Daphnia pulex: one gene and its partners. The protein of the gene in region 3 purifies or fractionates together with the protein of the main gene of each other region. This does not show direct contact. Links are inferred from orthologs where the notes say so. Each region holds a gene or a part of one and is shown on either strand. Other genes may lie near its edges. The genes, in order: 2-oxoisovalerate dehydrogenase subunit beta, mitochondrial-like; lipoamide acyltransferase component of branched-chain alpha-keto acid dehydrogenase complex, mitochondrial-like; protein phosphatase 1K, mitochondrial-like; 2-oxoisovalerate dehydrogenase subunit alpha, mitochondrial-like.

Region 1 (7,998 bases), on a different chromosome or scaffold from region 3:
TTTTACCTCTTGACAGAGTTTTGGACGCAAACGATGCTAGAGTAGTAGCTAGAACCCGTTGGCCTTAAGCTGTACTATATAATTAGCTTGGACTAGAAACAAAAAGAGAACATCTCGTCGGAGTTCATGCCCATATTTGGATTTTGAACTAGCCGCTCATTTTGTCTCTTAGCAGACGTCGCATTCTCACCAATCGATTTATTTTCTTGTTTTTAATATTTTTAATATTGTTAATTTAACGAGAAATAACGGGATGTCGCTGTTGTTTGTGCATCTAATGGAAGGGAGACATTTCTAGATGAAATCAATGACAGAAATCTGAGCAATGCAAATTCTCTGCTACCTTACATGGTTGGCGCGCTGTTTGATGTTGTATAAGCAAAAAAACCAGGAATAAATTAAGCATCACCGTATCCACATTTGTCCTTCGTCTCCTTTTTTTTGTGTCTGTTCTTGAACAATTTCGCCCGAAAACAAAGAAAATTTTGTAAGAAATGATTTACTAATCAAAGTTCGAGGAAATAATAATAACGTGGAAATAACAGAAAAATCCCCCACTGTAGCCTACATTTCAAATTTTTTTAAACAAATATGCAAATGATTTGAGCTCGCTTCTACTGTTTGCTGCACTGCTATTACATACGCCCAAAAAATTCCCGTACGTTATGCAATGAAAAAGCAGCATAACTGGAAAGACCATAATCATTTTACAATTCGACTCCATCATTGAATAGTTGAGTAATCATTCCCTTTTTTATTTGGAATAAAAAAAAAATGGTCCATGTACACATGCAACAATAAAACAGCGAAAGTCCCCGCAGTCGCAAACTGATGGCACAATCGTCCAACGAGCCAAAATGATGATGGTTCAACGGCTATTTGAAACCATTGACGGCCCTCTGACGTCTGAGTTCCGGACGGATGAACATTGTCACAATGGCTCCAATGAACAAAGCCAACGTTAACGTCCCGTTGCAGACGAGGTCGCCGTAATCGTCCAGCAACCACCCACCTAAAAGAGTGAACACGATGCCGAAAATCTGAGCGGACGCATTGAGCAGCCCGGATGAGGTTCCTTCCGGTTCGGGGTAGGTGAGTTCGGCGGCAAATTCAAATCCCACCGGAAGGTATCCCGTCATGAAAAAGCTGACCAATTCAGACCGCACAAATATCGACAAATAAAAAAAAACAGGTCACATGAATATAATAAATCAAATCAAAAGAAATACAAGTGTAATTCGATATAACATACCCTACGGCTCCGGCCGTGACGAACGTGACGGCGATGATCTCCACATTGAAAGTGAAAGTGTAGGCAACCATTCCCACGACGGCCATTCCGTAGACGGCTAGCGTCGTTTCTCTATAGACACGAAAACGAGAGTTGTTATAATTGGCGATCAATCGTCACGTCCATTATGGAAACGAATTTTTAAAAAAGTCACATCATGTCTCACTTGAATTTATGAGTGCGGTCGAGAATAACTCCACCCAGGACGGAGCCGGCCATTCCGCAGACGACGATCGTCAATCCAATCTGCCCGGCACTTTCTTCCTGCCCCTATATCACGTCCGGGAATAATTGGGACGTCATTATGATTTGTTGGCTCGTTACGCTAATTGCAATTGCTCAAGTTGTCGACGACTTATTACTGGGAAATGCTGGAGAATGGTTTGATTCAAGAGGGTTGACATGGCGTAAAAGACCCCTACGTTGATGCCGTAAGTGACCAAGAGAAGGACGTAGTCTCGGTTCCACATAATCCGTTTAATCGATTGCGAATAATTCAACGAGTCCGTCGACGAGTCGATAGAGCAACGGGCCAGGCTCGGAGGCAGCGGCGGTTTGGATTGAAAAACTGCAATTCAAATCAAATGGAAATTGACATTCATAATATGTAAATAGCAGCTTTATAAAACTTTGTCAATTTGAATTGTTTCGAATTGATATACCTACGATGACGAGAATGGAAACAGCCGTACATAATCCGGCCACAATGTAGAACATGAGACTCAGTCCGCTGCCGATTTCTTCAATAGTTCCGTCCCTCACCAATATGGGCGGCAGGAGAAAACCCAGAGCCACACCTAACTGTATATTGATGGGCATACAGACAAAGTATCTAATAAATTTACGAGTCTTACTTTTACGACCAGGATATGTTTCTTGCATATAGCTGTATCATAACTTCCATTTAAATATTCCGTTAGAGAGAGAGCCCATCAGCATACTGATGTGATCATTCGAATCGGACCGAGTTCAACTCGATCCGATTATTCCAAATTTATTCTTCATCAGATTACTAGCTGAAATGTTTTTACCTGGTTGCCAAAGACTCCTATGGAGCAGGCCGATGAAACTTGATCGGGACCGAACCATGTCGCCGCTATGTTTGGCGGGACGCTCAAGACAAAGACCTGCGAAACGGCTGCGATCGTTTGACCGATGAGGGCGACGTAAAAGCGATCGGGAGCGACGGATAATACTTTAACCCACGCGCCAGCCGCCGTCCCCAAACTTCCAATCAACAGCGTCACTCGTAAACCCTATTGAGAGATAAATTTAGACCCGGGAGTTATTTATTTATTATTTTCAATGGCCTGCTGTTATCAGCATTTGCACTCTGAAATTCCTGTTTTCCCATGTCTAGACTGACCATTTTATCCATGACCCAGGCACCTGGAAATATCAATGGAACATAAACCACCATGTAAACCAATGACGTCCAGTTGACAGTTTGACTATCGACGCCGTAATATCTAGATACATCAAACAAAAAAAGATATGAACTCGGTACGTAGCTACTTTTAATACGTATGATAATGATATAGGTTGTACTTGATCAGCAAACTGGTTATGATAGAAAACTGGATCCATTGGAAGGCGTTGAGCATTGAGACCGTGACGAAAATCAAGAGCATCAGCCATCTCCGTGGGTACACTTTGGTGGACAGCATTTGCCGATGATCCTGCGATCCGGTGTTTTTCGACTCGGCTTCTTCCGGCACCGAAATGTGGAAAACGACTATCTCGTTCCCATTTTTCTGCGCATGCTTATTGTGATGTGTCAGTAGATCGTGATCGCTGACTGGGCTGGCCGGCGTCATTTTCGACTCCATATGTCTGATGACAAAAAATGTCAATGTTCGCACTATCGTTTTCAGGGACTGGTGCACTTTGAATAGGAATGAGAACGGCGAATTTTATCGATCGTCTATAGCTTGGTTATAGGCCCGGTTCAAGTGACGGGTCAGGCGACAAATAAAGGCGCCATTCTGGTAATAAACTTAAAAAAATAAAAAAAATACAAATTGATGCTGATCAAATGGTTGTTCTCCGTTATTTACACTTGCGGTCCACACTACTGACTTGACTATGTACGAGTGAGCTTAGACTTACAGTCGTACGCGATTATCCTGACGGATGATTGTTGATGTTGGGCTCTCGTGGGATGCCATATTGATATCCTATCACATTGGGAGCGTCCAGTCAACGAATGCCCTTCAAGGTTGAATTGCCAATCGATTTCGTCACAGCAAACATGGATTCTCATTACATTTTGATGGCCGAGTTCAATTGTGTTGGGTCTATTTGTATACTAGCCCACGAAAAGTTGTAAGGTTTCTTTGTTGGGAGAAAATTGCGGTTAAATGTTGAACTAAATTCTGGATAAAAAGAAAAAAAAATTGTAAATGATCGCTCGCCAACTTGATACGCCATCCGGGTCACATGGGGGCGATAACTTTTTATTTCGTGACCCGCGGAACAGGAAGAAGTGCTGCTCTAATCGATTAGAGTAGACAACAAGGAACGGCATTGCGTTTGGTTCAAGAGATGACCGTTCGCAACGATAGATGGCAGCTCTAGTGATGAAAAAACGAATAATCGGAAGTTGGAATCAGACGATATCGACGTAAAATTGCTAAGTGTAAACATGGCTCTCCGTACTTTCATTAAACGGAATCTCATTCTCAACAATAAATGCCCGTTAAGAATATCTCAGCGGTTGTCTCATTTCACTTTCGTTCCAGATACTGTTTCTGCTTCCGAAGGTTCGCCAATCGGTTAATTTTGATGTATATTGAATGCATGGCATCGTTAAAATGAATTTGATTCGCACGCAGGTGAAACTCAGCGGATGAATTTGTTTCAGGCCATCAATAATTCACTTGATATAGCTCTAACCCAAGATCCAACTGCTGGTAAGTAAACATGACAATTAATTCAAATGGTTTGATTTGCACTTTTTAAGAATTTTGATTTGCTTGCAGTTATCTTTGGTGAGGATGTTGCATTTGGTGGAGTGTTTCGCTGCACAGTTGGCCTCCAGGAGAAGCACGGCAAGTCCAGAGTTTTCAACACCCCACTGTGTGAGCAAGGAATTGCTGGATTTGGTATCGGAGCTGCCACTGCTGGAGCCACTGCCATTGCAGAGATTCAGTTTGCAGATTACATCCTTCCAGCATTTGATCAGGTATCATTCAAGAGCCTGAAGCTATATTCATTATCTCGAAACATTAAACAGGTCTTGTTCGAAATCATTATTTTTGCCAGATATGCAATGAAGCTGCCAAATACCGGTACAGGAGTGGGGGCATTTATGATTGTGGATCTCTGACCATCCGTGCTCCCTGCTCTGCAGTAGGGCATGGAGCGGTGTACCACTCCCAAAGCCCTGAAGCTTTCTTTGCTCATTGCCCCGGACTCAAGGTGAAACCTGAATTTCTTGTCATGGATGATAGGTGACACTGTTTTTTTTTTGTTGTTTTTAATGCGGTTCTGTACGTTGTCTTTAAAAGGTTGTGGTTCCCCGAGGGCCCATCAAGGCCAAGGGCTTGCTCCTGTCGTGCATTCGTGACAAAAACCCGTGCTTGTTCTTCGAACCCAAGATCCTGTACCGTAGCGCCGTCGAACAGGTTCCAGTCAAAGAGTACACTATGCCGTTGTCGAAAGCCGACATCCTAGTCGAAGGTTTGTGTCCATAATCAAATCATCATGTGTTGTGTTGGTCTTATCTTTTTTGAGACGTATAAACATATTTTTGATGTCGGGATTTTATTCGCCCGACGATAAAAAGAGAAACGTCGCCAACATATGGGTTTTATTAATCTGATTTCATTAGGAGATGACATCACGCTGGTCGGCTGGGGCACCCAGGTTCATGTTCTGCGCGAAGTCTGCCAACTAGCCAAGGATCAGCTCAACGTTTCGTGCGAACTGATCGATCTGGTTACCATTCTCCCGTGGGACAAGGAGACCATCGCCCAGGTTGGTAACCCGAACATTATGCCCTTTCTCTCCGTTGCTGTGGGAAAAAATAAAAATTGTTTTTAAAAAAAAGGGAGATACCATAAAAAATGAGAAATTTTGAAGCAATCCGAAACGAGAGTCACATGGTTTAAGTGAAACTTCTCTCTTGACATTTGCGCTGAATGGCTGGAATTGTATTTCTGTTTTCGTTTATCACCCAGCCCTTTTGTTGTTGTTGTTGTTGTTGCGGTGGTTGTAACAGTAGAGCTGCCGATTTCTAATTGTGGGCACAACGACCAGGTTTGGACAAAAATATTCGAATTGTGGGAGGGTCGGTGAGGCGAGACGCGGAAGTGAAACCTGTTGACTTATTATCCAATGTGATTGTCGTTTCTTTTTGCCTCTCTTTCGCCATTTTGTTTATATTGATCTTGGTTGTTTTTACTCTATTCGCCATTTTATTATGATTATTATTTTTCGTTAATCGCTTTCTAACTATGTTTCTCTAGTCGGTGAAGAAAACGGGGCGATTGTTGATAGCCCATGAAGCGCCATTGACGTCTGGATTTGGAGCTGAAATAGCGGCCAGCATTCAGGTAACTTTTAAAAAATAAAAAGGCTGTGATGATAAGGTGAACGATCTCAATCAATGCTTCTCTTTGATTAATTCAACACTTTCTTTCTACCCCGAAAACAGCACGAGTGTTTCCTGAATTTAGAGGCGCCCATTGAGCGTGTCACGGGATTCGACACACCTTTCCCGCACATGTTTGAGCCGTTCTACATGCCCGACAAATGGCGTTGCTTCGAAGCTGTCAAGAAACTAGTAAACTATTAAGAGAGCAATTAAAAAAAAAGTCATGTTTAAAACGAAAAAAAAAAAAATAAAGAATTAAAATTTAATTAAAATCGCTTTCGCCAGAGAGATATGATTGTACATTACATAACTAATCTAAAAAAAAAAAAAAAAAAGGAAATTTTGTTTATGCTCATTTGTTCCCTTCACTGAGGTCGAATGTGTACGTGTCCAGGCGTGCATATGTATGTCTCAAGGGTGCGATTACCGTTGCACACTATTTACCAGCAGTCGGCCTTAGCGCAGCTCTCCTTATCTCGGTAGGCAACATGTATGTACCAGCAATGATATAGTATATATATAATATACAGTATACATACAAATATATTCTATATGTCGACTACACAAAACGCTGATTACGTTGTTTGGGGATCGATCTGGATTAGGGAGAGATCCGTGAGGCGTCCACTAAGCAAATTGACGCAAGAGATTCGGTTTACACGAGTTGACTGCAAACAATTCAAATTTTTTTTATCGGTTTTCTAGATGTTTCCAATGTTTACGATCGGCTCGGTTGAGCCCCCATCCGAATGATTAGAAAACTCACGATCATTGCTCACACACAATGAGCCACCATTGTTCTCTACTGTCCTTCCGTATAGAATTGGCGCAGAACAACAAATTCCCGAATCTTGTCCCGAATAAATAATTCGCTTTTTAACAGATAAATTTAAGACAATAGGGGCAATTTTAACTGTAATTTTTGGCTTTTTTTTTTACAAGGAAGTCAACACAGTTTCCAAAGGATATTGTTATAGTACTATGACTATTTTGAAAGGGGGAAAAATAGATCCGAGAAAGAGAGAGAGTCACTTTCGCTCTTTTCTCTATCGTGCAATCGCCGACTTCGGTTTTTATATACACAACTGTCATCGTTCACTTCCCTCTTTGTTCGTGAAGGAAAAAAAGGGGGGATAGATATATATTTCTCTTTTTTTTTGGCTGAAAATCAAAGGCTTATTATTGTACAATAATATTCGAAATGCCGGAACTGTCGTCATTTCATTTTATTTTTTGACTTGGTTTCATTCATTTTCATATAATCTGTCAGAATAGTTCAACTCTCTCTCTTGTCCACACGCCATGGCGTATAGCACAGAGCCGGCTAGAGCTGCTAGCTATTAGACTCCCACTATGTAACGTACACCCTGTATAATAATATCAGCAGCTTGAAGGAAAGAAAGAAAGACACAACTTTGCGTGCAGTCGACTTTGAAGGACGTTGGTTTTTTTTTTTGCATATTATTACTTGTATTGTAGAATGCGTACAAGTATACCGAGATTGCTGCATTTCCACATTGGCGACCTTCAGCTTTAGGGGGAATATAGCTTATACAATCGCCGTCGACATTTTCAGTTGGCAAAAATGTAGTAACGACTTTTCCAGATTGGCCGGAAATTCACATAATAATCGATTTTCTATTTACTATTTCGGTTGCAGGTTTATAGTATTCCTGACTGGAAAAAAAAATTCTGCGGTTGAATATTTTTCGATTGGAAAAAAAAATTCAGCCAATTGCTTAATAATCGACTCGATGAATTGAATTGGACTGTGAATCGCGGAATCAAATAATTTGTTATCACTTCGGTTGACGAAACAGGTTCGAGAGCGCGTGACGTGTCTCGCCGTTTATATCTGCTCTCTCAACAATGGATGTAAAAATTCAACGGGTTCTACATGCATACATTGCGAATGTTTTTATTTATTCCCAAAAAATGTGTTTTCTTTTAAACATCAAATAAGATTTCAAATTTCCCGCCGTCTGTTTTATATAGATCACTCGAGACCCGTTCTGCACGTGCGAATACGTCAATGCGGGCTGATTATTCCAAGAACATTTAACTCAAACGTTCTAGACGCGAACATCAGTTTAACCGTGTAGCTACACAG
Region 2 (7,687 bases), on a different chromosome or scaffold from region 3:
CATCCTCGGGCAATGTTACACATCCTGAAGGTCAGCTTCCAGTCGCCCGCCCGCCCTCGTCATGCAAGCTTGCTGGCCTAACGGCGGGCGGCAGCATGACGCCATTGACGCCCTGATTCGAGAATTGACGTATGCTGATCCTTTTGCCACGGATTATTTATCTACTATTACTGCTGTTAAGGAACATCGTGATTTTTCACATTTTATTCACGCGGGTTATTATATTGCGTTTGCTTATACAGAAGTGAAATTTACTACTATCAAGTTCATATTTTCTCTAGTCAGTTATTTGTAATCTCGAAAACTCGGATTCATTATAAAAACATGTTTGCGTGTGTATAAACTATAAAGCCATATCGTCCAAACAGATTTTCTCACAACAGCGAGCACAACAGGCCTGCATTAGGTCATTCAGGGTTTATTTCGAAGGTTATAGGTGCCCTGCAGATCCCAAAATCAAAGGATAATGTAGATGATGACGCAGGCTGTTTAATAAGGCGAGCTGAACATAATATACTTCAAGAAACCGGAAACTCGATTAGTTATCTTAAATATTTACTTTCTTTTTTGTTTTTCAATGTAGATTTATTTTCACGCCTGACGTCCTCAATATTTTCAAGATTATCCCAAGCCTCGTTTCCTTTCAGGCATCGTAACAGCCAGGTCAGTGTCGTCCGACCGGCACAATTTTCTCCGGGCTGTTTCAAGCGACGCCAGAACCAGTCCCGCACTCCCGCTCGTCCAAAGTTATGTAACAATAACAAATAAACATATCGGTTGATTGTGGCTCGCAATCACACGGCTGTTGAGGCAACCGAAAAGGATATAAAGCAGTTAAAAGGCAGCACCATATCTCCGCGCCAGCACGAAATCATATACTGTAAACAAGCCGCAGCTTTCTTGTCACGGTCGGTTTAAGCAAGTGGAATTAATGGTCTGCGCCCGTTTCGACATGTAATACGCAAACCAAAACAACCAGCACGTCTGGATGAAACCAGAAAAAAAAAAACGAAATTCCAGCAGCCGGGAGTAAACGGATCCTTAAACTAAATATGTGTCTACACACACACACACACACACACAGCACACACACAAATAGAATTATTTTTGTTATCGACACGTATTATTTTTTTTCAGTAGCTACTTTATTTGGATAAGACATGCTTAGCTGTCGTGAGAAAAATTTTGGTATAGTATAAAAAGTAGTCTGTGATGTTGTGAACTCGATTAACGGAGAGCGGTATCATTTCAGATGATTTGATTTCCCCTGTCTCGACTATAGACACCCAACACAGGCAGCACGGGGTGTGGGTCAGTGCGGTCAGGCGGTATACTTTACACGCAACAGAATGAACTATTCAAGGAGATCTACATTTCAACCTACATAGGTTGGGTTGTTGTCACAGTTGGAAAATATTACATTTCATCTTTCCTTTCCAGTGTAAATTTAAATTTCACAATTTTGGGTTTTTGTAAGGCCCTCAACGGTCCGGTGCAACCGTTCGGTTGCCGGGACCGGTCACCCCCTGAAAAAATCCTAAAAATTTCGGACCGGGCCACAGCAACGCTATTTGACATCAGATCTTCTAAAAAAGATGAAAACATGTTTAGAGAAAAGGCTAAAAAACATTTCCCAGCCCGCCTAGACCTGATTTCGTTTATTTGGCGGGGTTGTGGCTTCATTCGATGTAATCCATTATCCCGCTAGGGGGCTCGTTGGCTTAGACGGTTATTGTGTAGTTACTGTTTTTTGTGTTTGGTTAGGTTATTTAACGATTTTAGGGAGTATTTGAATATTTCATTCGGATTGAGAAAGTCATTACAAATGTTTCTGTTTTGCGCACAACAAGCTTCTCTATTTGCTCAATTTTAAACCGACGCAACCGCGCACACCGAACCGAATCGTAAGTAATTGGGTGATTTACTATTTCTGAGGGAAATTCCCAAAACATTACGAAAACTTACGAACAGGTAATTCATGACAGATGACAGATACGTTGGTTTTCTTAACCTAGCGGGCAGACAAGTGGGCCACTGACCAAGTCCGTCTCCACTATCTCCTGTTAAAGTTGCATCACATAAAGTAAATAATATTAAAAATTAAACATGGCATTACTAGTACAAGAAAATGTTGTTCACACTGGATAAATAGTACATAAAACTACAAATTCACAAACACAGTCATATTGTTTGTTTAATTTAAAATATTAAACTTAAGTAAAAGAAAAACATTTAAAAGAAAATTTCACGTGTAGGACTAATCTGTTATCTTAGTGAAATAACAGATAGGCAGTATATTATATCAAGTTTCTTTTTTTTTCATACACTGATGATCATACTGACCATATGACTGAGTCCCATGCTGTTGAGATTTCACTTCGCGACCATTATACACTAATATAGATCCTCTTTTATTAAATTTAGAAACGTACCCTTCCGCCAGGAGGACACGGATTGTAGAGTACTTCATTATTAGTATTTGAATATTCATTTCAAGTCTAAGATCATAATGCTGGGATTTTCTAGATAAGCCTTCCACAAATTGGAAAATCGCGCCATTGAGGCGCCATCAATCACTCGATGGTCAGCAGACCAACTAACTTGCATGATGGATGCTCTCACCACCTCACCTTTGTTGTTGAAACGAGGAAGTACCTAAACAATTCAATACTACTGAATCATCTGAATAATTAAAGGTTGCCGAAATTTAAAAACTACCTGGACACGTCCTATTGCTCCAATAGCAACCTCCGGCGGCATAATGACGGGTTTGGCATAAGTTCCTCCTATCTGAAATTAAAAGGGAAAACGTTTTAAACGAGGAATTTATAAAAAGTAATCAATAAAATATATTAAGAGATTTATATCCAACCGATCCAATGTTGGATAAGGTGAAAGTTCCACCGGTTAAATCTGCAGTGCCCAAAACTCCTTTATTGCCTAGCTCCTGCAGCCTGGCTAGTTCGATAGCAACATCCATCACAGACAATGATTGGACATTTTTTACATTCGGCACAATTAAACCGAGACTCGTATCCATGGCAAATCCAATATTATGAGAGGCTCTAAATAAAAGAAGTTCAATAATTATTTACGTGAGAAAGAAACTTTTTTTTTTTTTTTTGGTTACATACTTGTAAGTAATATTTTCGCAAGCTTCGTCAACCGAAGCATTAAGAACTGGGAACTGTTGCAGAGCCATGGATGCAGCTTTAATGAAGAATGGCATGAAAGACAACTTAATGCCTCGCTCTTTAACCATTGGATTCTCTTTCAGAGAATGTCTCAGCGTAGCCATTGATGTCATGTCAATTTCATCACAATAACCAAAATGAGGAATTCGCTTTAAAAAATAAATATCTTGAAAATTATGAACCGAAAATATGAACGTGAAATCTCTTGATCATACCAGTGCATTAGTCATGGACTTTGCCATAGCCTTCTTAAATCCTTTAATCGACTCAGTGCGGTCCACTCCAACCGGACAGGCTGGTCTCACTTGCTGTGGGCTTTTTGTTGAAGGCGACGGCTGTTGGGAGGTAGCTGCAACAGGTTTAGGTTGTTCCTGGGGCGCCTGTTGTTTAGCTTTCGGGGCGCTCTTAGAGCTACGAAGAGTTTCAATGTGCCGAAGCATATCTTCCTTCAAGATACGTCCGTCTCTCCCACTTCCTTGTACATCTCGTAGATTTATCTATAATATTAAAACCAAGTTTTACTGACAGAATTTCTATTAAAGTTCAGTCGCTAAAACATACCTTATGATCACTGGCCATTTTTCTAACAGATGGTGTTGTCAATACCTTTTCTGCTGGAAGTTCTAGAGTATCCAAACTCTCGTCTTCTCTTTCACCGAGGGGTATGGCATCTTTTTCTTGCAACTCTTCAACAGGCTCTTCTAAAAAAAAAAACTATAAGCAACACAAAATCAAGTGAAACAAGAATCACTGTTTTTTGTACCTGTGACTGAACCACTGACTTCTATATCTACCAATGGTGTACCCACTTTGGCCATATCGTCTGTAGCATAATGCAACTTGCTAATGATTCCATCATAGCGACTGGTAATGGTAACTGATGCTTTGTCACTCTGAACTTCACAGATGGGGTCAAACTGAGCCACTTTATCACCTTCCTTGACATACCTTTAGAATTGATTTCAATCTCATATAAATACAGTGAACAATAAATGTTAAACAAAGACTATTACCATTCTTTAACCGTAACTTCCGTGATTCCCTCTCCAATATCTGAAAGTTTGAAGGGTACTTTCTCTCCATAAAAAGGTTTCGAAGAATGAAAAAATCTAGTAGTTATTGGATGAAATTGTTCGACGTGACCGCAGGGTCCGAAACGAGAAATAAGCAATGGAACGGCATTGTATTGCAATCGTGATTTCTAGGTGTTATTTAAAACGGGATAAATTTTTAAATTATTCTATCGAATCTAGTTGACAAATTAAAAATCTAATTACCAGGTAGAACAACTTATGTTGTCGAAAACTACAAACAATTCGTCGTGAAGCAGAAGCCATGTTTACTCGCAGAGGAAAAATTCTACACTTATCACGTCCGACGGAGAGAAGATGGCGCTGAGCACACACTTATATTTATTGAAATTATTTATAAAATAATAATTTAAAATAAATAAATTTGCAAATATGGCAACACAAAATTCTTATTTGTTTTAAATTAAAAAAAAAATACAAAATGTTCCAGAAATTATTTTTTATTCCAATGATTTTTTTTCGATTACAGTTCAACAGTGAAGTCTAGATTGGTTCCAACTTCGCCAATTTGGAATCAAGGATGTCAGAGCCTTTGTTGGTTTGTTTTTGTAGAAATTTCCTCAAATTTTTAAGTTTTTCTAAAACTGCTTGTATGACACTGTCAATTTCGGTTTCAACCATTCCAACGAGCAAGAAAGAACCGCGATTGCAGCTTAGCCAACCTTTAATCTCATCAGAGTCTACTTCATCGATGATTGCCTGGCTAAAATAGGGAGGTTGCGTTCGTAGCTTGTCAAACTGAATTAGCTTTTTAACCGTCATATGAACAGCCGACTGTTCAACCCAATATTGAACTTTTTCGCCACTAGAGCTAAACGCGTTTCTCAGATCTTGGTCGAGTGGGTTACCAATAACTGAAGCCACTGCTTTAAAAGCAGCTTGCAATTCTTCCCCGACGCAAAATTTGAGAATGGAGCCAAGAACAAGACAGTTTTTGCTATCTTTCAACCACATTTCAGGTTCGTGTGAGACAGCTTCCAACCAGGAAGGGGAGGCATACTGGAGAAGTTCCTTGTGACGAGTTTCCATATCTTTCTTGCTGTTGGGATTACCGTCTCCTTGCTTCAATATGTCAATAATCTGTGGATGGGTGAACTTGGGATCGCGGCCAGCAAGCAAGTACATGACAACCTTTCGGCCGTGCTCGTGAACAGCAATCTCTCTCCAGTTGGTAGCAATTTCTGTGACAATAGCTTTGGCAACGAGTTTGGTGTCATCCACGGAATCGAAAAGCGCCATCAGCACCATGTGGCCGTGCTCCTCTAAGCAGATCTTGGTTACGTGACCTTTGAAACTTTTGATGATATCCTATATAATTTTCAATAGACAGGCGGGTGAGATATAATTTCGAACACAAAATAAATAAAATTTAAATTTACCTTTCGATCTTTTTGGGTACCATACCAGAGGCACGTCATTCCAACTCGAGCTCCATCGCGAGTGTGCAAAACTTGAACGACTGCCTGACGAAGACTTTGGATCATTTCAGAGCGTTCATTCTCTTTGCAGTGAGTAAGGTACTCATTAGTCAAACGATGCAATAAACTGTGATTGAAGACACCTTTTCCAATTAAAAAATCGATTAGACGGTTGAATACAATCGAATATTGGTATCAAATCAACAAACCTTTGGCAATGATTGGTTCGATGGCCTGGTTCATATGCTTTAGGAATACTTCTCTCTTCTCGGGATGTTTAGCCAGAGCGGCACTCAACGTAGTAATGGACTCATCTTTAAAAAGTTTAAATTCAGGTCCATAAAATTCCTGGCTCAGCAGAGCGCGTTGACTTGCGTTAGCCCAATCGTTGTATGCCGTTTCAACCACTTTGGAGGCGAACTGATAAATAATAAAGAATTAATTAGCCAAATATTGAAATAAAGAAGATGGTGTTAAATAGATGCATACCTTGTGTTTCATAAGAAAAACAACTTTTCCGCTTAACGCAGTGATGACATAATTTCGCTGTTCCTTGTTACCATGGCGGAGAACTTTCATCAAGTAGAAATGTGCGTACTGTGATTTAGCCAAATTAACAGTATGGCTTTTAAGTTCATTGAATAAGGCATCTCTGATATCCTGAGATGATTTCTCAAACAAGCATTCAATAACTCTGGCTGTATCATGGGCAAAGACCAACTAAAAGGAAAATTTAATTATACAATTTGTAATGAATTACAGCTTTTCATCAACTTTTCACTTACCTCTGCTGCATGAGTTTTGATCAATCCATAGAGATCAGCACTAATGGAAAGTTGACGTTCTTTGGTAGTGTCTTCCCTTCTGAGTTCCTCCCAGAGCTTTTTGGCTTTAACAGACAGCAGATAGCGATTTTCATTCTCCTTGGTCTTTCGTTCAACTTTGAGTGCTTCTTTTTCCTTCTTCTTGAATACACTTGTCTGTTCTCCAACAGTCTTTTTGGCTTTCTTACCATTGACTTCTTCTCCTTCATGTTTTCTTTTAGGTGCTACCTTTGGTGCTGAGAAGCCAGGGATGACTACATCACTTGAAGACTCTGTTTCTTCAGTTTTCTTTGATTTCTTTGAGGGCTTGATAACTTCGAAATCTTCATTATCCACTTCCATTTTCTTGGACTTTTTCTCCTTTTTAACAACGACTTTCTCTTCTTCTTCTTCAATGTTTTCTTCAGCATCAGCAGTTTTCTTTTTCTTTTTGAACATGTTTCCAACTTTACCGTAATCTTCTTCGACTACTTTATCATGTTTGACTTTTTTCTTGGCTTCTAACTGGTCGATGAGTTTGCTTTCTGAATGAGTGAAACCTGGGGCATCTGCTACGACAACTTGCTTCTTGGTTTTCTTGACAGCCGCTTTGTTAATTTTGAGCGTCATTCTTGTACTTAAAAGTTCACAACTGTTTTAAACTTGATTAAATAACCTACGGTCAATCTCGAGAAAGAAAACAACGCGTTCGTACAGAAAACTATGGTAAACTTTAAGCAAAAAGTCAGCACGGCGCACGCAATATATTCCTGTCAAACACGTGGTTTGAGAATGCTTTCTGCTAAATTGTTGCCAGATTGCTCTGCAGCTGAGCAAGTTTACGAAGGAAAATTTAAAAAATTTCTATTCAAAACAAACTTAACCATAAATACTTTTGTAATTAATTTTTAAAATTTAAATGACATTAATTTTGATTAATCAAAGGAGTCATAAAAACAGAGCTCTGATGCACCATATGACATTTGCGGGAAATTCAAAATCTATCATAATCAAAAGCTTATTTCCCACTTTCACATCATGAATGCACCACTACCGTGCCAAAGAAAATCGATTTGAATACATTTAAGATTTTGATCGAAAAATTTGCTAATAAACAAGCTTTCATTCCCCTTGTATCGACAGTGAACGTGCGACAGAGGGCAGTATGGCAGTATCATTCG
Region 3 (7,459 bases):
TGATAACAAATCAAGGGGCTAGTAGTAGTAGAATAGAGTTTGACTATGTCTGTAAATATTGTCTCGATATAAACTCTGTCTACTACCAAAGTTGTGCGGAGAGTAGAGTAGAGCTGATTGAATTATCAGGCGGTTGCAGCCCAGTCTCCCGGGGCACATGTGCTGGCTGGCTGCTGGATAGAGTCAAAAACACCCATATAGACGACCAATCAGACGCACGAGTTTTTCCTAATAAGCAACAGCAGAGAAGGGCAGCTGGGACGAAACTTGGTCCAAGATAAACAGACACGCAGTCAAGTCGCTAGTAGCTCTTCTTTATAGTGCACAACCGCAATTTATATCCAAAGGGCTTTAGTCAACAGACGGTTAAATGAGACAACTCTCTTGTTAAAAAAAGGAATAAAAACACGCTATACCAGGAGTAGGATTTCTACGATAAGAAGCGTGTAGATACAACTGTGCGTAGTCCAACGGGACCCGAAAATGTAATCCTTCATTTTCTACGACTTCCCCGACACGAAACTTTGTCTCGTTTTCAAAAGTGAATTAGTTATAAAAGAAAAAAAGTTCTACTATACTTGCCTTAAGGTTTATCCCAAAGCTCCGAGTCAAACTGGGGAAATACAAACGCGGGCCGGAACAATATTACTGCCCAGGTTGTCTGTCGATTGCTGGAGGGGATCCAACCGTAGTGCGTGTGTGTCGCAAGTGTCTTACACAAGACGAATGTCTAGTAGTAGCTCCTTGTTTCTGTCTTGGTTGAACGACAGGACCGACACTACCCAAAAACAACCCAAAAACAACGACGTATACCCCCTAAAAAGTCGTCGCTCCTCCTTCCCAGCCAAGTCCGTCCTCCTTTTCCGCTTTTGGGTCCAGTCCTCCCTCTCCTTGCGTTCACGGCGGTATAATACTCACGCGTGCTAGTCTTTCTTCTTATTTTTCACACAGCGCACAATGGATATGAAATCAAAGACCACCCCCAGCAATCGGATACGTGTAAGTTGAAGCTCATTCCGACGTATGGACACATTGGTCCCCGTGTTTAGACGTTGAGGATATTCTTTTTCCAAAGCTTTCGGGCCAAGGGGGGGAATCCGGTTCCTGCTTGATGGGATTTTCTGACTAGCAATAGAAATATTTTAATTGTAGGCGACCTTTTGATGACTGGGCATGGAAGCCTATACAAATCACATGCGGCCAAAAACACTAAAATGTTTCGGGTTTTTATTATTTGGCGCCGTGTAATTTCAAACCGAATTATTTCCAATCGGCTCAGTTTCGAGTCGAGCCGTTACGACTTGGACATTTAAAGCTAAAAGAAAGGAATAGTCGGCCGTTTCGGGACTCGACAGGAACTCAATGCCAACAGATCAAGGATTGTCGCCCCTACACCAACCCAAAACAAATGGGATTTACCCTATAAACGACGGCAGCGCTCGTAAAAAGTGAGACAAATCGACCCCCCAAGGTAGACTCCGCTGTTAAACGCGTTCACGGACAGTTGGATTGATTTTCAAATGTAAATTTCTGGTGTGTCGATTATTTCAAGACAATCTACAAATCAAACGGAGCCATAGAAACGGCGAGGGGAGCAGCTGGGTCGTCAGTGATCGATGGTTAATGGGTGATGCGGTTAGGCGACATGGGCGACGATTCGTTGGTTATACACATTCACAAAATGTCTAGTCCTGATGCAATCAATCAACCAATCATATACAACCCGAGGCGTGGCAACCGAAAGACCCCCCCAAAACTTTTCCATCAAAGATATTTCCTTATTTTTCATTGTGTCTCTGCATATGCTGGCCGGTCGCTATCTACATTAGAGTTTAAGTACAGCGCGGTACTCGAGCACCAACGGGAGGTGGAGCATATAAGTTGCCCGGCACACACGCACACCCACCCACCACCCGGTTGAAAGGAAATGCGCGGCCCTCTTCCGACTTTACCATTTGCTTATCCTTTGACGCTTTGTTCTGACAAACGACCCAGTCATTAGCACAATCATCTATCACGATTAGAGCAAGAGTCGTGTGACACACAGAGTTAAGACCGACGACTTCTAAGGTATAATACGGTTGAAAGCAAAGTAGATCCGCCACTGGACGCCAAATAAAACACACGCCATTCTATTAAGAGCCCATTTGGCTCCTGGGCTCCTAATGCTTATCCAAAGTGGAACAAGGGCAATAATTTACAAGTGCGTCGGCGTACATAAGGCTGTGTGTGGAGGGGGGGAGATGTATACAATACACTTTGTTATCATTCCAGGGCCTGTGTGTTCCTCCCTGGCTATTTTTAAAACAGTTACCAGTACTATATGCTCACCGATTGCACCCGCTGCTGTCGTACGTTCCCCTGGCCAGCCACACTTGAACATGTTGTTTCCATCATAAATGGTTTGGGGCAGCGGGGGGGATAAAAACAAATCAATCGCTAAATTAAATAAAATGATGAGCAAATTTTTTAAAATTATTTAGTCGAGGAAGTGAGAAAATGGGAAATGGTTAAAATACGTACATTAGTTTCATTCAGGCATGAAACATTCATGTATTCACATTTCACGACGATGGGGTTTACTGTTTCAAGTCAACAGGGTTCACAAGGGTCGTAAAGGCGTGCTGCTTCCAACGGTATTGATTGGAGGCTTATTTTCGTAATAAAAACACGAGTTTTATATTGGGCGGATTGAGTGAATTAACTGAAGCGGCTGCTGACCGTCATGCTGCGGCCAAAACTGTAGAAAATGGAAGCTGATGTCGTGTTATTGCCTAAAAGTCATTTTTGAAACGAAAAGAAACAGACGAACGAGATTAAGCAATTGGAATATTAGAGAAACAAATTTGATTCGAATTACCCCAGGAGCCCAAGGGCACAACGATTGCGGTCGCATTGTCTTCAGATGAGTAATGTAAGGCTGCATCAGTTAGGCAGTGGGCGGCATCATTTGGATCTTCAGTTCGCTGGATGACGTCACAAATTTCCTGATCCGACATCACGCAATTGATTCCGTCGGTAGTCAGCACTAAAAATGCATCTCTCCCGTGCTTTATCTTGAATAACATAAGAGGGATAAATATTATAGAGCGAAAAAGAATGTTAAATCAATAAGAATACCTTAATCTTTCTCACATCAGGGACGGCAGTCACGCCAAATGGTTTCAGCTCTAGATCTCCCAGGCTTCTCGTCATCGCTAATCTAATAAAAACGCGAATAGAAAGCTATTTTACTTGGTTCAATTCGGAAAACTTGAGTTAACTAACCTTCCGTTAACCATTCCTCGGCCAACATCATCAACCACAACCTTTCCTTGAGATTGTTCAATTCGAGTCTAAATTAAAAGAATAACGTGTAATTTTAGTTCAACATGTTAAAAATTTGAGTTCAATTTTTTACACCTTTTCTGTAAGAAGGGATGGACAATGATCGGTTGTGAGACGGCGGGCCTTTCCTCCTCGACATAGCATAGCTCGGCTATCTCCCTGTAATAACAATTTAAATTAGAATAAGGGAAGATGCAAGTTTAATTTTGCTAAACGTAATGAAGAATAAATGATGTATGCCTATACTTCTTACAACATGGCCAAGATAAAGATCCATGTTCTTGTGAAGGAGTGCTACTGTAGCCGTTGTCCCTGGAACATTACTGGTGGCTACGAATACAAAATACAGAGTTCAATAGCAGCTTAACAAATACTTGGTGAATACAAACTTTACCTTTGCCGTGAAAAGCCCACCAACGAGAAAATGAGTTATTCAACTCGATGAATGCAGCATCAATTGCATGTTCAATATCATTGACACTTAATCTGTCCAACCAAAAGGTTAAATGATTCTCCATGTGACTGTAGCAGTAGTCTGCACACTCTGATCCGCCATGCCCGTCAAAGACAGAAAAGTAGAGCAGATTCGGTCTGAGCTCTTTTGCAACAAAGCGGTCCTCGTTGTAAGGCCTCCTGCCTTGAATGGAGTGTGTTCCAACTGACGAGATGAGAATTTGAGGTATGGGTTTCCCATAGTTGATGCTAGACTCGAGTTCAAGAGGCAACTCTGTCCGGCTGTCCCACGTTCCTAAAATATCGACGTTGACCGTCTTGGAAGAACCATATTTGTGCTTGGTGGTGGTGGTGGCAGAACGAGTGCTGAATCCCTTGGAGGACTGCAAGAACAACAGACGCAATTTGTTGCAATTTGCAAGGCTTTTTGATAAAAGAAAAGTTGATCTAAAATTCATATCTCTTTGAGCGTCAAATGATGAATGGAAATACACAGAATTCTAGCAGTAGAGATTTACACGAGAATTCCTCTTTTACGTTTTAATATCCCGTTTTCGCTGGTATCCTAATTTACACTCACTTGATCTTATCTCTGGTCTGTAAATGGAAAGCAAAAATGTGAACAAACAAAATAAAGAAACGCCATCTAGAGACGGAAATGTTGACTACACGTTTGGGCGGTTTGAAAGTTTGAAATGAGATTCTTCCAGTCGCTCGACCAACAGCAATGCCAGCAAGCAACTGAAGCACCTTTCGTTGTGTATTTTTCTTACGAGAATACAAAAAAAAAGTGGTGCGTTACATGAGAAATAGTTATGAAACATACACGCAGTACAATACTGAATGAGATCAGTTAAGTAAACTTGGAGAAGATAAAACTGAAGAAAAACGGGATCTCTGGATTGGTTCTCCGACATTATGAACATGAATTTTGAAAATTATTTTTTGAAGGGTTTTGCCTGGTACTTCCACGTTGCGAAACTCAAGGCGAATCTGGGCTATTTATTGGCACCTATTTTAAAATAAATGTTTTAAACAATTCAGACGTTAAATAACGAAGTGTAGTTCAACTTACGGTATCCAGCAGCAGACAGGAATCCATCCACTACGGAATTGCGACTATCCGGAATGCCAGAAGATTCTGGCGAATGAAGTTCTTTGAGTTTCTCCATCATTTTGTCTCCAGAAAAGATGGTAAAGTTGGGAACGACATCGTAAAAGGAATCATTCGAAGCAGCATCCATTTCAAGTCCATGAGACATGTAAATCACGTCAGCAGGTTTAATTCCGCCCCTCTCCAAATTTCTCAGATTAGCAGCCTATATAAACGATTATTAACATTTAGGATTAAGATCACGAATTAAAAATTGTTTATAAATGATGCCTACATAATTCGACATGCTGCCATTTAGATCCAGAGGGCAATTAACCATGTAGCCTACTTTCGCGTTGCCGATGAAATGATACATGAAAAGAAGATCGACATGGCTCGCTGGGAAATCGATAAAGTCATCGGCTGAACTGTCGTCTGATGTCATGTCACTTTCAAGACTGGAGATCGGTTCATCAGCGGCGCATTCCTGAATAAGATGGATTTCGTATTGCAGACCGCTCAAATCGTAGAGAAATTTTCTGATGGCCCTGTTATAACAATTACATTTATTATTGGTTTATTAAAATTATGTAATGTGAGAACTTACGGGACATTTTCCAAAAAAGAATTCCGCAATTTATCAAAATAACCGCTTGGAATGTTTCTGCCATTAGGGGATCTAGTTATCAGTACAACTAGAAACAAGTTGGCGAACGAGAAAATGGGGTGGAGGCGAGGCATTTTCCAGTTACCACGAACAACCCTTGGATTCAACAACTTACGGAGGCCAAAGTCATAATCATCGTCATCATCATCGTCATCATCATCGTCATCATCCACTTTTTGTTCTCCATCAACTGGGTAGAGAGAGCGCGTTAGACTTTCTGGGAGTCTTGAGATTGGGGCAGTAGATGATCCTGTGATTTCAGTCACTTAATGTTTTAAATAGACAAATAGAAACAAAAACATTATTAGGTTTACCATACATAATATCTGTTGCTATACCAATAAAAATTTCATAAATAGCTCTAACTTAGCAGATGTTTTTCAGCCTTAAATTTTGCTAAGAAGCAGGTTATAAACATTTTGAACGCCGGGAAAGAAGTTATTTGAACTAAAATAAAGAAAATAAAATGCCCTCAGCTAAACGAGTAAAAATGGTGGTGTGGTGGGAGGCATTTTATCATCGGAAAACCCATTTCGATGGAAAGTTCTAAAACGTGTGTCGATAACTCCCAATAATGCCAGGCATTCCAAATGTGCAACATGCTCCATGTAAATGATTGCATACAAACTACTAAAATCGAAAAAATAACTTACAGGCACGGTAGACGGCTAAGGTCATTTCGTGGAGGGTCTTACAGCCGGCCTCCTCTAATGCGGCATTCATGAAATCGGTTCCGGTCCAATGACTTGGGCAAGGCTCTTTTTTCTCTTTCATTTTCTTTAACAAGAATTCTTTAGTAATTTTACTCATGTTGGACACCCAGAATTGCCAACTTGACTTGTATGAAGCAGGACTGAAATAATTTCGCGACTGCTCTATCTCGTGACGAAAAACACTTTGACCGAAATGTCCCCGGATACAGTGATACACCAATACCATGCTCTCACAACTCTGCCTGAGGCAAACACGTGGTTCATTTTCTTGACCATTGGCGCCGAAATCATGCTGGCGGGAAATCTTAACAACATCATAACTCTGGTGGGCTTGACATAATTTATTCATTTTAAGCGAATTACAAGAAGCAATAATTTCTAAATAATAAAACATACATGTGAGGATCAAGTGCCATTTATATCAGAAGCAATTTTAATAAATTTGATCGATTTTTCCCCCTCCTTCCCGCCACAAAACTTTCTGACTCCTCCCTCAAAAGGATTACTTTCAATAAATTCTGCCTTTTCTCTCTTTTAATCTTAGTATGTAAAGCAGTTTTTTATTGTAAGGTCACTTGGCGATTTTATATAAAAAGTAAAAAGATAGCAAGGTATTTTTTCATAGAGGCGGGGACCCGGAAAGTGTAGCTGTTTTTTGGCGGGATTATCTAGACTGTTCAGCGTGTTGCTATGCACAGGTTCACGATGTACAAACTTGCAGATTGACTCAATCGAATAAATAAAATAATACAGTTAGATTTTCTTCCAGCCCTTAAATTTGTCCCGAAAAAAAAAAACATGCTATTTAACTCAAATGTATTATATTTAGATTTATAATAGATAGGCCATTGCTAAAGTAAAACAAATGAATAATCGATTATCACTTGTTTTTTTTTTTTGTTTTCTTCATTGACAGAAGCAGACAGAAAAACACAGAAGCAGTTGATGGCTCATGCCAAACGGTCGTTTTATTGTTTTATTTTTTGCTCATTTTATCTACAGTCATCGGTACAGCCATGTCTGCCACGCGTCTGACATCCGGGAGCCAACAAAATCTCAACGTGTCGGTTACTTCCAGTGCTTCTACAAAAGGTATCATTGATTGTTTTGAAAAATGCCTGTCACGCCACGGAAGGTCGGCATGAAATATTTCGTCGTCTCACAACTTGTCAAATTTTGTAGACGGTGAGACGACGGCACCGCCTC
Region 4 (7,452 bases), on a different chromosome or scaffold from region 3:
AGATTGGAGGACAGAAAATAATAATAAACTGGAAGCACTGATTTGTGATTGTGGTGTGGCTGTTGATGTTTGAAGCGAACCCGACGCTAGGCCCCAAACGTCAGAAACCTTCTCACACACCCGGAAGCCATTTTAAAACCGTTACAACCGCAACCTGTTGGCAGCGGCGAGAACTACAAAATCCAAATTTTTTTTAAATAAAATAAAATAAAAATAATAATACTGTTTCGTTTTGTTCTGTTTTTTTTTTTCCCAACAAATAATAATTATTTCATTTTATTATTTTACGGTATTTTAATTATGAACGAAATCGTTTATTTCGCGTGAACTTTGTAGAGCAGTGCCTTTAAAAAAAAACAACACACAAAGTTGGAGTAATCGTAAAATAAATTGTCTGGGGCCTGGGCCGTGTGTCTTCGGCATGTTCCTAAATGATTTTATAATACCCCCTCACCGGCGATGGCATGCAAGGTTTTGTTTTTATCCCTCTCCGAAAAACTAATCTTTTGACTCTGGCAGTCGTTAGCGGCAAGATTTGAATACCAACACGTCACGAGCGCGAGAATAGCATTCCTGTCCTATGTGTGTATAGCGCGGCGGAGACGCTTTTTTGCAAGGTCATTTGCAACTTGCAAGAGTGGTTGGTACATTCTGATATTTTCGTTCAAATTTAAACGAACGACGCATCATTGGCAAAAGAGTCGCAGGCCTTCGCACCATAACAGCTCTCACTGCTGTCTATGGTTACACACGCGAGTTCCTAAAATTAGTTCCGCATAACTGGCCGTGTTGGGTCGCCGAGTTGCGGGCTGTCGCCAGGCTGCGGACGAAATTTGAACGCGAAAAAAGGAAACCCTGAAGGGTGGAGGGGGGAAAAAAAGTATAAGAAAACCAAGAAAACTTTAAATAGAACATGACATCTACAGAAGAAGAGAGTCGGCCATTTTTTCTGTTTCTACTTTATTACGACACGGTGACTGGCTACTACACAGTTATTGGTTGAAAAACTGTACGGGTGCCACCGGTACAGCATGCGGCAATTAGCGTCCAATATGTTTGTGGGCGCGTACTGGTGTAGTACGTACTGTATACATTTAAAAATAAACGCGCAACGACACGACCCCCCTTTTTCTTGGTGGAATTTTCTTTCTTTGGCGTTGGCGCAAATGGCATTCGGCACAGCAGACAGCGGTCGTTTTTTTTTTAATACCAAACAACATCTGTAATCTGCATTCATAAGTTTGGGCGCCATCCGTTTTTCAGAGAACATTCTTTCGAGTCACCGGTTTTATTTACCAGCGTTTTTCTGAATAAGAGAAAAATTAACGACTCGTAAATGTGCACAAAATGCAACGGAATCTACTTCACCCGTGTCATCATAAAATAATAATCTCCGAGTGCCATGCTGCTGCTCAACTGCAATCTCATTTCGCTGTCCTCCGCAGTACTCTGATACAGTTATCTAATCGCTTCGACTTTATTACAAGAACAACAACAACTATATACACACAGCGAAAACACATTTTACCTCATCGCCGGAGTAGTTGTCTGGCGATGACGATGGATTCAACTAATATAACGATAAGGAGATGAGGATAAAAACTTGGCGAAGAACATGGCGTTTCAATTTTTTTATTATTATCGGCCGCTGCAATAATAATAACCCACTATACTACTACTCGCCATTAATCTGTTACGATGTTTACCTGCAGTCGGGCTTTTTTATTTTATTTTATGGCGCAAACAAGATGTGTTTTACATCCCGTAATTTAGTCCTTTTGCTCGACTACCTTATTCCGTTTCAGAGTCGACATGGTCATTAAGTGTGATAAACTTCTAGTCTCGGCAGCGGAATGTATATAACTCTGCATTCAAATGATTTTTCTTTTTTTTTTTTCAAATTTCAAAAGACCCATTAACCTTTTGAGTTTGCCGGGAAATGATTCTCAGAAGAAAAAAGGTTTCAGCAATTATTTCAATCCACTATACGTAGTATATATAAGTTACTCGGCTATGAATCGCATCTTTATTTGTTTCTCAACGGGGCGAAAAGTTACGAGGGGTTTTAAGTTCGCAGGGTCGTCGCTCGTTTGTTATACACCGAAAAAATTATATCGTTTGCTTGTATCTTGAAGGTTATCCGGCGCGGTGTATAACGTTTGAAGTCATTTGGCTGATATTCTTTCCAACGAATTCGTGAAATTGAATTCAATCGATCATAACTGACATTTCACAGGGACTTTCTCGTAAAATAGTCGACCGCAAATATTGAGCGCATTTGTACTATTTTTCTTATCTGACAGGAGACTCGTGCATTTCTTTATTCTTGTCGACCTTTGAGCTAGTTGAACTCGAGCGCTGAATTTGACATTCTCGGTGTAATTCAAACGTTCTCAGTCATTAAAAGGAAATGCACGCGGCTCACACATTGTGAACATTTCTCAAAAGTGGAGCGGATTTTTGTTCAAAAAAGACGGCATATATATTACAGGGCTTTAGGCCATTCATTCGGAATTGCGTAACGCTGTCCTTCTCCTTTCTAATAATTCATACTCTGAGCTTATTGGAGTTTGAACGACACGAACGGCGTCGTGTGTCGTAACATCAATGCCATTCTCTCCTTTTTTTTCTTTCACGCCGAGTGAATGTCTTAATCGTTCACATGTGTCGACGCGCTGCGACACCCAATTTTTTTGTTTTGTTTTCCTCGGGAAAAAAATAAAATAAAAAGCCAAACAGAAAACCACTCGAATAACGGAGCTACAATACAACAAGGCTATCTGGTAGCGAGATCCCAGAAAAGGGGGGTCTCAGAGAACAAAATAAAACCAAATAAAAAATAAGAAAAAAATAAAAAATAAAAAATCATGGCGCTAGCGCGCAGTAAATTTCGTCGTCTTCTCTCGTGGTTCTCACTCGTCGGTTAACCGCGAAACTGGAGGCGGTTTCCTACACATATGGGTGTGTGTGTGTGTGACGCGCCCGACTTTAACGAGAGCCGAGTGGAGAGAAAAACCCTGGGCAACGGAGAACAAATATGTACAATGCATGTAATAAAGTTTAAGGAGAAAAAGAAAAAAACACGGACTAGATGTATCCTCTTGTTAATGCCGTTATGGGCGATTAACTCGCGGCACGAAACCGAATCGTAAAAAAGTAAAAGAGAAAGTGAGACTTATGTATATAGTAGAGCTGCGCGGCATCCTCATTAAGTCGTGATACATAACTTGCACTGATTTCGCCAGCCTCGAAAATATGTATGCACGAAAGAAAGTGATAGCGCAGGAAAGTTATTCCAGCTTTGAAAAAAAAATCATCAATTTTTATGTTTGGAGTCTGAACAATATCCTTTTGAAATAATTCTTCGACCCTACGTCATTGATCTTCGAGCTAGCTTTCAAATTCCATCAGCACGAAAGCTTTTAAAAGCATGGTTCGCCTTTCTTTGTTCATTTTTTTACATATTCGTCTCGCTTTCCATAAATCGTGAGCATCGTGCAAATATCGTGATCGAAAACTTTGGCTACAACTACAAGCTAAATTCGTCCACCTACAGATGGCGTCATTTTCTACGACTACCGACCATTTTTCTCTTCCGACGAAATTTCTTCTGCTGCTGTGTTATCGTTTGAACTAAATTTTACCGAGGAAAAATCTCTGTTGGCGAGGAAGCGTTTTAAATTCTACTTTATCGCATCAATTAAAAAGCCTGCATTATGTTACCCATACGGCTAGCTCGTTTTGGTATTCGCTCGGTAGCTGCCAACTGCAAGCGAATCAACATTGGCTCTCTTTCTCAAGTGCGTATAATATAGTTATACATTTTTGTTTGAAGGGAAAATCAATAATTGATTTCATTAATGTAGGTTGCAAGAGAATTTTCTTCCGATGAAAGACCACAGTTTCCCGGTTCGCGCTCCCAGTGGACTGAAAAGCTAGAATTCATTCGCCCTGACCTCTACGATGGGATCCCAGTCTACAGAGTTATGGATAGGAAAGGAAAAGTTATAGACCCTAGTCAGGATCCCCAAGTAATATTTTATAATCCTATTAAAAGCAACAAATTCTCTAATGACTAACATACCCAATAGTTGTCTCAAGAAATGGTCATCAAAATGTATAAATGCATGACCCAACTCAACACCATGGATAGAATCTTGTATGAATCTCAACGTCAGGGGAGAATTTCTTTCTACATGACAAACTACGGGGAAGAAGGCACACACATTGGGAGTGCAGCTGCCTTAGATCCAAAGGATCTTATTTTTGGACAGTACAGAGAAGCTGGTAAGTAGTTTACCCTTCAAAGGCTTTTTTCAACCATTCTAAAATTGTTTTCTTTCATCAGGAACATTGATGTGGAGAGGATTCACACTTGATCAGTTCATGAACCAGTGCTATGGTAATGTCGATGATGGTGGCAAAGGAAAGCAAATGCCAGTACATTATGGCTCAAAAGAACTCAATTTCGTTACGATTTCTTCGCCGTTGGGTACTCAAATGCCTCAAGGTAATTGTCGATGAAATAACTCTAGAAATTGTTTCCTAACCATTAAGCCCTATTTATTTGCAATAAAGCTGTGGGTGCTGCCTATGCATACAAGAGATCCCAGAATGGTTTGTGTGTCATGTGTTACTTTGGTGAGGGAACATCTAGCGAAGGAGATGCTCATGCCGCCCTAAACTTTTCCGCAACATTAGATTGCCCAGTCATTTTCTTTTGGTAAGTGGTGTTTCTACTTTGACGCGATATGATGAAATAACACTAACCTTTACATCTTTGCGCCAATCAGTCGTAACAATGGTTACGCCATCTCAACTCCTTCCAAAGAGCAGTACCGTGGTGATGGAATTGCCGGCCGTGGCCCCGCTTACGGCATGTTGACCATTAGGGTTGATGGTAACGACGTTTTTGCTGTTTATAATGCCACGCTGAAGGCACGGCAAGTGGCTATCAGCGAGATGCGGCCTGTCCTAATTGAAGCCATGACTTATCGGTTAGTGAAAGGGTAGATTATTTCCTAAAGTGCATGATAATTACCTAATTGGTTGAATCGTTTTCAGAATCGGCCATCACAGCACATCAGACGACAGCACTGCCTACCGTAGCGTTGATGAAGTTCGTTACTGGGATGAGCGTGACCATCCCATTTCCCGTCTGAGGAATTATATGTTATCAAAAGGATGGTGGGGAGATGCTCAGGTACTTACCGTTTTTGCTATGCCCTCACCATGGCGAGGAATGGAGATATAAAAGTTTCTTAATCTCATTGGTGACGTCTTTTCAGGAGAAAGAGTGGAAGGAGGATTGCAAGCGCCAGGTTATGACGGCCTTCGCCCGTGCAGAAAAGAAACTAAAACCCAACTGGAAAGAAATCTTTACTGACGTTTACCATGAAATGCCATCCCACATAAGGTAAACTTTTATTTTTTCTTCTGGCTGACTCAAAAGTATTAATATATTTTGTGTTATCTCTCTTCTTATAGGGAACAAATGAAACAGATGGAAGAGCATGTACAGAAATATGCAGAACATTATCCACTAAAGAACTTCACGAAAGATTAATGATTTAAGATATTCTAGATGTAAACTTGTGTCGTTGTTCAAAGATGATTGATGTTATGAAGCAGACGAGAAAATATTACCAATAATGATACACATATGCTGGAAAGGGATACAGTAAATTATAACTTTGTAGAAGAAAAATTTGTTGGGTTTTATAGGCCACGATCAGTATAATAAGGCCTCGAATGGAATGCTTTCTATTTAGAAATTATGCCCATGGATGCCAATTACGAGGAAAGAATAATCACAGAATATGTTAAGAGTTTAAAAAGTTTCTTTCTTAATACGATATTGGGCAACATGATGATGAAAATAAAGGCACCTAGGCCGACTTAGTTTCGAGACTAGACTCGCTCGAAGGGAGGGTATCGTTACTCATTGTTGGAAATGTAGAAGGGGATCAGATGCTGCTGTAGCAGCAGCTTTATTACCGCTTACAACTAAAGTAGGATCTGGCTTCGGGCGATTATGCAGCTTCGGTGTGCTGGCGAACAGATCATCTAATAAACAATTTGACAGGTGCTTTAGAACGTGCTGGTGCTTTGAGAAAAGGTTTGTATTTTAAAGAGCTTACCGTCATCATCAGAATCGGCAAGCAGGAACGAAGGCGTAGTGACCTTTTTCGGTGTCGGAATGCTAGACTGACTGCTTAAAACACTGTCATCCGTACCGGATCCCATCAAGGTGGAATTGATTTTGGCGTTAGATTTTAAACCTCCTTTCCGCAAAGGCGCCTCAGCTTTGGACACCGTGCCAGATGCGTTAGTTTTGAAAAGCTCTCCGTCGGAGCTATCAGAATCGTCAAAAAGCGATCGATTTGCAGGTTTTGTTTCGCTTTCAACCACAAGGCTAGCCTCCTTTTTATCCAGTTTCATTGGCGACGGTAACGGTGGAGTAACAACCGGACTGACAACGACTGGTGTGGTTTCCTTGGGAAGTTGAATAGTCTCTTCGGCCTGTAAGACAAATAGTAATTAAGTCACACACATAATTATTACAGCACAGGTGTAAGCGTTACCTTAGTCACCATCGAATTGTCGTCGTCGTCCTGGATTTGGGAACGTCGGAAATTACGAGTTGGTGGCTTTCGGCTCCTTGGGGCTTTCGGCCGTTGTTTACTAACACAATCGAGCAGATCACTGTTTTGTGCAACTTCCTCGTTATCTTTATCTTGCGACTCGCCTGACATGATTTTCTGTTCCGCTTTCGTCGGGCTAGGCGGATTGCTTATCACGGGACTGGGAATGCGAGGACCAAACAGCGGGACACCACCGAACGGCTTGCGAACAACAGAATTCGAAATTGGGGTGATGTCTTCATCATTCGGCGTAGTGGCCGTCGATCCTGCTGCATTCGAAAACGGTAACGAATTCGGTTGTTTGGCGAGAGACAACTTTAGCGAGGCTATCCGACCTGCTATCTTATCTACGGTTTCGGCTGAGGCTTGAGGTTTCACTTCCGTCTCCGGAGATTGTCTACTATCACGCTTGTTGCTTGAGGTCTCACTTTTCTCAGGGGCTTTTTGAGACGTTACGGGAGGTTGAGGTAGGGGTTGTTTTTGTTCCACGATACCAACAAAGAGATCTTCGCCTTTGATCGCATGTTCAATTTCCTCTGTTTTGGCTGAGATTTTCACAGGCACAGGTTGTGGTGGTGGGTGTTTTTCAGCTTTAATTCCAAACAGGTCTTCATCGTCCGATTCTTCAAATGCCTTCAAGACGGGAATCTGTTGACGGATTGATGATTGGAGAGCGGGTGGTTGGCTACCAAAGAGATTGTCAGGGCCATTGCCAGGTAAAGACATGGGTAGTTTCGAAGAAGCAGGTAATGATGTTGATGCAGAGACATGTTTATCGCTAGGCATTTTAATTGTAGCGGGATCAGCT

The links.
Region 1: the proteins of protein phosphatase 1K, mitochondrial-like (region 3) and 2-oxoisovalerate dehydrogenase subunit beta, mitochondrial-like purify together in Homo sapiens (affinity purification with mass spectrometry; 3 studies listed by BioGRID and IntAct, counting the BioPlex papers as one, with this or other methods). This does not show direct contact. The link is inferred for Daphnia pulex from reciprocal best matches to the Homo sapiens genes PPM1K and BCKDHB.
Region 2: the proteins of protein phosphatase 1K, mitochondrial-like (region 3) and lipoamide acyltransferase component of branched-chain alpha-keto acid dehydrogenase complex, mitochondrial-like purify together in Homo sapiens (affinity purification with mass spectrometry; 4 studies listed by BioGRID and IntAct, counting the BioPlex papers as one, with this or other methods). This does not show direct contact. The link is inferred for Daphnia pulex from reciprocal best matches to the Homo sapiens genes PPM1K and DBT.
Region 4: the proteins of protein phosphatase 1K, mitochondrial-like (region 3) and 2-oxoisovalerate dehydrogenase subunit alpha, mitochondrial-like purify together in Homo sapiens (affinity purification with mass spectrometry; 4 studies listed by BioGRID and IntAct, counting the BioPlex papers as one, with this or other methods). This does not show direct contact. The link is inferred for Daphnia pulex from reciprocal best matches to the Homo sapiens genes PPM1K and BCKDHA.

The regions. Positions count from the first base shown.
Region 1 is NC_060027.1:5,062,973-5,070,970, reverse strand, and holds 2-oxoisovalerate dehydrogenase subunit beta, mitochondrial-like, read left to right. Parts: upstream 1-3,882; 5' UTR 3,883-3,935; coding exon 3,936-4,053; intron 4,054-4,125; coding exon 4,126-4,203; intron 4,204-4,272; coding exon 4,273-4,475; intron 4,476-4,555; coding exon 4,556-4,711; intron 4,712-4,800; coding exon 4,801-4,972; intron 4,973-5,123; coding exon 5,124-5,269; intron 5,270-5,760; coding exon 5,761-5,847; intron 5,848-5,948; coding exon 5,949-6,089; 3' UTR 6,090-6,432; downstream 6,433-7,998. Other genes in the region: feline leukemia virus subgroup C receptor-related protein 2-like, read right to left, coding at 876-1,146, 1,253-1,363, 1,458-1,561, 1,654-1,859, 1,954-2,092, 2,323-2,547, 2,658-2,760, 2,840-3,120. UniProt on the Homo sapiens protein: Together with BCKDHA forms the heterotetrameric E1 subunit of the mitochondrial branched-chain alpha-ketoacid dehydrogenase (BCKD) complex.
Region 2 is NC_060026.1:4,118,078-4,125,764, forward strand, and holds lipoamide acyltransferase component of branched-chain alpha-keto acid dehydrogenase complex, mitochondrial-like, read right to left. Parts: upstream 4,612-7,687; 5' UTR 4,532-4,611; coding exon 4,472-4,531; intron 4,396-4,471; coding exon 4,208-4,395; intron 4,143-4,207; coding exon 3,958-4,142; intron 3,896-3,957; coding exon 3,756-3,895; intron 3,692-3,755; coding exon 3,410-3,691; intron 3,344-3,409; coding exon 3,135-3,343; intron 3,066-3,134; coding exon 2,873-3,065; intron 2,791-2,872; coding exon 2,719-2,790; intron 2,656-2,718; coding exon 2,488-2,655; 3' UTR 2,244-2,487; downstream 1-2,243. Other genes in the region: pumilio homolog 3-like, read right to left, coding at 4,769-5,593, 5,665-5,846, 5,913-6,123, 6,193-6,423, 6,489-7,136. UniProt on the Homo sapiens protein: The branched-chain alpha-keto dehydrogenase complex catalyzes the overall conversion of alpha-keto acids to acyl-CoA and CO(2).
Region 3 is NC_060025.1:9,523,001-9,530,459, forward strand, and holds protein phosphatase 1K, mitochondrial-like, read right to left. Parts: upstream 4,404-7,459; 5' UTR 4,239-4,403; coding exon 3,722-4,238; intron 3,658-3,721; coding exon 3,581-3,657; intron 3,487-3,580; coding exon 3,403-3,486; intron 3,336-3,402; coding exon 3,268-3,335; intron 3,203-3,267; coding exon 3,121-3,202; intron 3,057-3,120; coding exon 2,861-3,056; intron 2,775-2,860; coding exon 2,701-2,774; 3' UTR 2,534-2,700; downstream 1-2,533. Other genes in the region: uncharacterized protein LOC124203045, read right to left, coding at 4,779-4,792, 4,856-5,099, 5,169-5,421, 5,481-5,805, 6,194-6,350. UniProt on the Homo sapiens protein: Serine/threonine-protein phosphatase component of macronutrients metabolism.
Region 4 is NC_060021.1:6,461,497-6,468,948, reverse strand, and holds 2-oxoisovalerate dehydrogenase subunit alpha, mitochondrial-like, read left to right. Parts: upstream 1-3,559; 5' UTR 3,560-3,716; coding exon 3,717-3,800; intron 3,801-3,866; coding exon 3,867-4,031; intron 4,032-4,091; coding exon 4,092-4,287; intron 4,288-4,348; coding exon 4,349-4,510; intron 4,511-4,578; coding exon 4,579-4,723; intron 4,724-4,792; exon of another isoform or gene 4,793-4,793; coding exon 4,794-4,997; exon of another isoform or gene 4,998-5,064; coding exon 5,065-5,203; exon of another isoform or gene 5,204-5,288; coding exon 5,289-5,416; exon of another isoform or gene 5,417-5,487; coding exon 5,488-5,566; 3' UTR 5,567-5,661; downstream 5,662-7,452. Other genes in the region: WASH complex subunit 2-like, read right to left, coding at 5,942-6,066, 6,141-6,522, 6,585-7,452. UniProt on the Homo sapiens protein: Together with BCKDHB forms the heterotetrameric E1 subunit of the mitochondrial branched-chain alpha-ketoacid dehydrogenase (BCKD) complex.